2 linked regions of the Drosophila melanogaster genome follow. The protein of the gene in region 1 purifies or fractionates together with the protein of each later gene. This does not show direct contact. Each region holds a gene or a part of one and is shown on either strand. Other genes may lie near its edges. The genes, in order: Hsp27 and Rpt5.

Evidence for each region.
Region 2: the proteins of Hsp27 (region 1) and Rpt5 purify together in Drosophila melanogaster (affinity purification with western blotting, with the first as the bait; one study listed by BioGRID). This does not show direct contact.

What each region holds. Positions count from the first base shown.
Region 1 is NT_037436.4:9,381,937-9,385,858, forward strand, and holds Hsp27 (heat shock protein 27), read left to right. Parts: upstream 1-2,126; 5' UTR 2,127-2,249; coding exon 2,250-2,891; 3' UTR 2,892-3,758; downstream 3,759-3,922. Other genes in the region: Hsp23 (heat shock protein 23), read left to right, coding at 62-622.
Region 2 is NT_033777.3:23,750,680-23,754,601, forward strand, and holds the start of Rpt5 (regulatory particle triple-A ATPase 5), read left to right. Parts: upstream 1-2,196; 5' UTR 2,197-2,334; coding exon 2,335-2,544; intron 2,545-2,608; coding exon 2,609-3,029; intron 3,030-3,086; coding exon 3,087-3,742; 3' UTR 3,743-3,922. Other genes in the region: RanBP3 (Ran binding protein 3), read right to left, coding at 563-1,896, 2,025-2,040.

The sequences.
Region 1 (3,922 bases):
TATCAACAAAAGAAGTTTATTCTTTGAAGGAGAATCATCTTGAAGCAATTAAAAAACAAAAATGGCAAATATTCCATTGTTGTTGAGCCTTGCCGACGATTTGGGCCGAATGTCGATGGTGCCCTTCTATGAGCCCTACTACTGCCAGCGCCAGAGGAATCCCTACTTGGCCCTGGTTGGACCGATGGAGCAGCAGCTGCGCCAGCTGGAGAAACAGGTGGGCGCCTCGTCGGGATCGTCGGGAGCCGTGTCGAAAATCGGAAAGGATGGCTTCCAGGTCTGCATGGATGTGTCGCACTTCAAGCCCAGCGAACTGGTGGTCAAAGTGCAGGACAACTCCGTCCTGGTGGAGGGCAACCATGAGGAGCGCGAAGATGACCATGGCTTCATCACTCGTCACTTTGTCCGCCGCTATGCTCTGCCACCCGGTTATGAGGCTGATAAGGTGGCCTCCACCTTGTCCTCCGATGGTGTCCTGACCATCAAGGTGCCCAAGCCACCGGCAATCGAGGATAAGGGCAACGAGCGCATCGTTCAGATCCAGCAGGTGGGACCCGCCCATCTCAATGTGAAGGAGAATCCCAAGGAGGCGGTGGAGCAGGACAATGGCAACGATAAGTAGAGGACTCGTTCCGAGAGATGCCCTGCATTATTTAACCATTATCAAAGTCATACATCTGTTTTATAAGCTGTAGTTATCCAAGGACACTTCACTCATACACAATAGCCATTAAGGGTGTCCTGCTTTAATCTTAGTTTGGAATATGTATTACTAAATTGGCGAAATTAATATTACCCATAAAAATAAATAACAAGTACACTTACTTATAATTGTGTTTGGTCTGTTTTTCTGGTTGGTTATGGGTTACTATTACTATTACTTTGGGAATTGTTTGGCTAGCTTGGCCCTTTTTCCTGTGATCCCGGTTTCTAGAATTTACTTTCTGCATTGTATATTGCATTGTTGTGTCACGTAAAATGGCATTTTTATTTAATTGTTGTTTGTGTACATAACTGACTTTTTACATTACTTCGGTAAAGAGACTTGAAGCTATGAATGTAAGGAACTTCAGTCAAGGTTAAATCCTTATGTAAAGCATGCATAAGTACATCATGTACATACATACGTACATAAGAATATACATCCCTTTTCACTCTCTTCTTTTTAATGAATTTCTGTCATCTCTACAAGAGATGTACGTTATGTACGTCCTTATAGCACGTACCTATGTACATGTATAAATTGAACTTCATTTTTGTATGTTACCGCAAATAATTACGTGCATGCACACATACACATACATATGTATGTATGCATGTAGTTTTGAAAATAATTATGTATTTTGGTTAACTGGTGAACCAAGAATAAAAAGATTCTATATACACATATACATATATATAGAAATGTATGCATATGTACATATAATAATCGAAACACTTGCAACAGACTGGCAATGATTTGCAAAATTTTCAATTGCCCCGTTTCCCACTTCGCGAAGCAGTGGCGAAAGCAACTGCAAAAATGTTTGCAACAAACAAAAGAACGGCAAACATGAGGAGCAGAACGAAGCGAGACAAGGGTTCAATGCACTTGTCCAATGAAAATACAAGCTCTGTTGCACTCTGAAAAGACAGCTTTTAAAAGAGCGATAAGAGAAGAAAATGCTTTAAATAAATACATATATCTGCATATATACGTACATGTACATACATATGTATGTACTGCATTTTAACTGTTCGTTTTGCTTTTTATTCGCAAAGAGAAACTCCCCAGAAAAGAAATGTCAAGAAGTTTCTGGTTCTTTCTCCCTCTCTCTATGAAAAGCCGGCTGTGCTAGAAAGAGCCAGAAGATGCGAGAGAAAACTGTTTGTTGAATTACGGGGCGTATTCAAAGGGGCTTTTAAATGTCGCTTAAATTTTAAGTTTGACAGGCTAATAATTGCTTGCCTATATCTAAATATTATTATATTTGCATTAGGGGATCATAGGGAAAACCTTCTCTGCAGGCAAAATCTAACGAAGATGGCAACCCCCCATCATTTTATTAAAGTTCCGTCCCTGGTTGCCATGCACTAGTGTGTGTGAGCCCAGCGTCAGTATAAAAGCCGGCGTCAACGTCGCCCGAGCACAGTCTAAACTGAAAAATTGAAGGCAAACGTTGAAGCAAACTTCGCTAAAAAAATTCGAAAAAGCAAAAAAAATTCCTTTGTCTAGACAGGGTTGTGAATAAAGAGAAAAAAAATCAAAAATGTCAATTATACCACTGCTGCACTTGGCCCGGGAGTTGGATCATGACTACCGCACCGACTGGGGGCATTTGCTGGAGGATGACTTCGGTTTTGGCGTCCATGCCCACGATCTGTTCCATCCGCGTCGCCTGCTACTGCCCAACACCCTGGGACTGGGTCGTCGTCGTTATTCGCCGTACGAGAGGAGCCATGGCCACCACAATCAAATGTCACGTCGCGCGTCGGGGGGTCCAAACGCTCTGCTGCCCGCCGTGGGCAAAGATGGCTTCCAGGTGTGCATGGATGTGTCGCAGTTCAAGCCCAACGAGCTGACCGTCAAGGTGGTGGACAACACCGTGGTGGTAGAGGGGAAGCACGAGGAGCGCGAGGACGGCCATGGAATGATCCAGCGTCACTTTGTGCGCAAGTATACCCTGCCCAAGGGCTTTGACCCCAACGAGGTAGTGTCCACTGTCTCATCCGACGGTGTGCTGACCCTCAAGGCCCCGCCGCCGCCCAGCAAGGAACAGGCCAAGTCGGAGCGCATTGTCCAGATCCAGCAAACGGGGCCTGCCCATTTGAGCGTCAAGGCACCGGCACCCGAGGCTGGCGATGGAAAAGCCGAAAATGGCAGCGGCGAGAAAATGGAGACTAGCAAGTAAAAGACGAAAAGAGGAAGACTAGGAGATGAAGAAGACGAGAAGAGGAAGAAGACTAGAAGAGGAAGAAGTCGTGAAGGAGGAAGAAGACGACGAGATTCGCTGGCGAAGCACGAGAGAAAGAAGAATTTAAAAGAAGAAACGGGAGTGTTGCCGCGCTGCTCGGAGAGAGCAAGACTAAAAAGGACACACCACAACACACCCAATGTATTACATTCACACACATCACATCATTACATCATCATCATAACATCCTAGACTAAGTGATTTTAAACTCCATTTATCATAATGCATAAAAAAAACAAAATTTTAGTGTGTATTATTAGGCTAAACAACTGGAGGATTCATTGCTCCCTTTGAGTTTATACTTTTTGTAACAAGAACAGGCGCAACACTCGGGAGAATTTTGCATTTCATTTGTGAATAAACGAATACAATAAATACAAATACACGAAAAGAAGTCAGCTGTCGAGTTTTTGTTGGTTTTTTTTCCTTTTTAGCTTCGAATCTGCAAATGTATTTGCATTTAGGGTAAACCGGCTTTTGTTGGGTGTCGTTAACTTTCAAGGGGTCTTATGTACATATTCTGTTTTCCTTGTCCTTGAATTGGACTTGTGGAAAATTAAATGGTCAGCCAATTGCTTAACCTTTGTCGACGATTGTTATGATGATTTGTAATGATTTTGCACAATTCAGAAATCGATATAAAAAAAAATGGGAAATGATTTTTGTTTTTCAATTACATTTTGACAAACGTCATGCAAATATTTCCAGTTCCGCGCACACTGAAAGAAAATCCAAGATAAGAACGACATTTAAATAATTTAATCAATTGTTTGCACATATTTATTTAAATATTTAATACATAATAAAAAATTTAGTTGCCCGTTCTGATTTCATATTGGTTGTTTTATGCTCGTAACTTGTAGCGATCATAAGTATTTACTGTTAATTCTATATCTATATCTAAAACGGCTTTCATTCATATTTCTCAGCTGGGTGTTGAGATACGGATATATCTCAGTTTTCTCGGC
Region 2 (3,922 bases), on another chromosome or scaffold:
ATCGGCAAATCGCTCCAAGCCAATGCTGAGGGCATAGGATGGGTTGATATTCGATATCCACTCCTGCTGCTACTTCCACTTAGATTGTACTTTTCGTCGTAACGCTATTTTTTTCTACCAATACATAACTGAATACTGAGTGATGATCCGCTGGAATCCACACCAGATGCCAGTCAGTGGAGCTATGACCAGGACTAGTGCAAGCGCTGAACTTGTAAAAATTATTTCCTAAGCGAAAAGTAGTACATAGGGTTTGTATAGTGATTAAATTAAAACTTTTAATTAGAGCGTGTACGATCGATATCGATATCTTAATTTCGGTTTTCATTTTTAACAAAAAATTATAAACACAAAGCGTAATGGATAAATGTCTTTTGTCGACGCTGCTCACGGGTTTACAAATCAGCACTTCATTTATTTTATTTTTAATAATAATAATTATTAATAAATTATTATAATTAATTTATAATAATTCACGGCGCGCTTTATTAATTAGTGTTTGTTGTGAGTGTTTTATTTCTCCATGTATGAATCGTATAAAAAGAACAAGAGCGAGCGGCGGTTAATTCTGATCGGTTGACTCCTTGGCCTCGGCCTCAGCATCCTCGTCGCCCTCCTCAACGGGCGGCACAGGGACATCGGCGCTGCTATCGGGCTGGACGATCACCTTCTTGGGACTCGGGCCGTAGCTGTCTGCCTCTGCTGAAATGGCACCAGACGGTCCGGGAGCAGCATCCTCATCCTCGTCGTCGTGAGTCGTCGACTCCGGTTGCAAGCTAGCCGCTGCCTCAGAGGCGACGCCGTTTTTCGCTTCCTCTACGGAACACTCCTCGGGATGTGAGACCTTGCGCTTGGCAATCCGTTCGCTGAGCGCCTTGTGTAGCTGGGCAATGTCCGCCGGTCGGCCCATGGCCAGGAAGATCTTGACAACGCCAGAGTTGTCGATGGCCGTTAGTCGTAGGGACTTTTGGCTGGCTCGCTCCGCCACCATGGCGGCCCAGACTTTGGTGTTGAGAAGCAGGCGCAGATTGCCAGAAGTGCGGAACACCACGCGCGAGTCGCCCCTTAAGTCCTTGGCGTCGTTTAAGCGCAGACTGCCGCGACCACGCTCCTCCCAGTTGCTGTTAAGAAAGGCGAATAGCTTGCAGCTCACGTCGATAATGTTGATCTCGTCCTCCTCGCCGGTGAAGGTCTCGACCTCCTCGTATTTGCGTTTCTGAGCGCGGCTCTCCTCATACTCCCGGGCCACATCCGTCAGGCTCTTGGCCTCGGCGGACTCCTTGTTGTTGCTGCTGCTGCTGCAAATGGATGAGGAGGCAGCGGCCTCGCTGGTCTCTGTGGTCTGGGCAGCGTTCTGAATGACGCTTGAGAAGAGCAATGGCGCCGAGGACGACGTAGCAGCGGTGGAGGAGGAGGCAGCCTCCTGGGCTGATACCGAGCTGGCTGCCGTATCTGCATCCGGCTCAGCGGTGACCTGTTCAGCATTGGGGGCCACCACACGTTCATGCACATTCTGGCCGAAGACGAACCCGCTGGACTGAACATTTGGCATGTTGTTCTTGGCTGCTGCAAACATGCTGGAGCGCTCAATGCCATTGCTACGCAGCTTGGTCAGCGGATCCGGCCGCTCGTCGACATCGTCGTCCTCCTTGTCGCCAGTGGACTCGGCTGCCGCAGATCCGGTGGCCACCACCTCCTCGTCATCGTCGTCGTCCTTGGACTCGCGCAGAAACGGATTATTCAGCAGGGCGCTGTCTTCACCTGCACTTGGGGATGTGGAACTATTGTTGGAGCCGCTGCTGTTTGCCAAGACTGCTGGGCGCAGGACAGCACCGCCCAGGCGAGAAGCCTTCAAGGTGAAGCCACCTCGGAAACAGTTAGTTTCGACTGACGCTTCTGGAAACAAGGGGGAAAAAACAAGACTCGTTTGTCAGTTTGTTGCGAACTCTTCAAGGGCACAAGATTCGCGATATTTGGCAACTTTAAGTTATAGCAAGCATTACAGCTTGTTTTGCTACGCTTACCATTATTTTCAGACATTGCAAACTAGTCTACTTGCAATTTTAAAATATAAATTGCCAAATCTTTTACAGAATAGAGCGTTCTGTGTAAAGCCTGCCGTATTGTTATCGCTGTGTTATCGCTGTCACTATCGATAAGCGCCGGCGATGGCGCTCTGTTGTCAACACTGACTTTTTCAGTGTTGCTTACTTGCCGCTGAAAAACAAGAAATTTACAAGTCATCGACAGAGTGTTTGCCCAAAAAGATCGGCAATAATAGCATTTTAACAAAGAATTACATTCAGCAACGGCTAATCAACAATCGTATTAGACATGGCTCAGACTCTGGAGGATAAGTCAATCTGGGAGGACGGGGAGGAGTCCCTGGGCGAGGAGGTGATGCGTATGTCCACCGATGAAATTGTGAGCAGGACTCGCCTGATGGACAACGAGATCAAGATCATGAAGAGCGAAGTGATACGCATAACGCACGAGATTCAGGCGCAAAATGAGAAGATCAAGGACAACACCGAAAAGATCAAGGTAGGGATGACAATGAAACGCCACCCTGCCAAATAGCCTCATTTGTTAAGTACTTCCCCATTAGGTCAACAAGACACTGCCCTACCTGGTGTCCAATGTAATAGAGCTGCTGGATGTGGATCCACAGGAGGAGGAGGACGACGGCTCCGTCACCGTTCTGGACAACCAGCGAAAGGGCAAGTGCGCCGTCATCAAAACATCCACTCGACAGGCGTATTTCCTGCCCGTCATCGGCCTGGTTGATGCCGAGAAACTGAAGCCAGGTGATCTGGTCGGAGTCAACAAAGACTCCTATTTGATCCTGGAAACCCTGCCGGCAGAGTATGATGCCCGCGTAAAAGCCATGGAAGTGGACGAGCGACCTACAGAGCAGTACTCCGACATTGGAGGTTTGGACAAGCAGATACAGGAGCTCATCGAGGCAGTGGTGCTGCCCATGACGCACAAGGAGAAGTTCAAAAACCTTGGCATTCACCCACCCAAAGGTGGGTATCTCACTCGAACAAATGTCACACAACCATATTAATCCTTGCCATTTACAGGTGTCCTTTTGTACGGCCCCCCTGGAACTGGCAAAACATTGCTGGCCCGTGCCTGCGCCGCTCAGACAAAGTCCACCTTCCTCAAGCTGGCAGGTCCCCAGTTGGTGCAAATGTTCATCGGTGATGGTGCCAAGCTGGTGCGCGATGCCTTCGCCTTGGCCAAGGAGAAGGCGCCTGCCATTATCTTCATTGACGAGTTGGACGCCATTGGCACCAAGCGTTTCGATTCGGAGAAGGCCGGTGACCGTGAGGTCCAGCGAACTATGTTGGAGCTTCTTAATCAGCTCGATGGCTTCAGTTCCACTGCAGATATTAAGGTGATTGCGGCCACCAATCGCGTAGACATTCTGGATCCTGCTCTGCTGCGCTCTGGTCGTCTGGATCGTAAGATCGAGTTCCCACATCCCAACGAGGAAGCCCGTGCCCGTATTATGCAGATTCACTCGCGTAAAATGAACGTTAGCAATGATGTGAATTTCGAGGAATTGTCCCGATCCACGGATGACTTCAACGGCGCCCAGTGCAAAGCCGTCTGTGTGGAAGCTGGTATGATCGCACTGCGTCGCTCCGCCAATTCGGTTACGCACGAAGACTTCATGGACGCCATCATGGAAGTGCAGGCGAAGAAGAAGGCTAATCTTAACTACTACGCTTAGACTAAAAATTTGCAGTTTAACTTCACATTGTCAGCTCCCATTAAAATAAACCATGGAAATGTAAAATTTTTCAGTTTCGATCTGAGTTGCCCCTTGAAGATCGCCTTTAAAATAACATCGCAACGGCTCTTAAAAGTAACTAGAATGGGAGACGTACTGAAATCAATACCCAACCTTTTT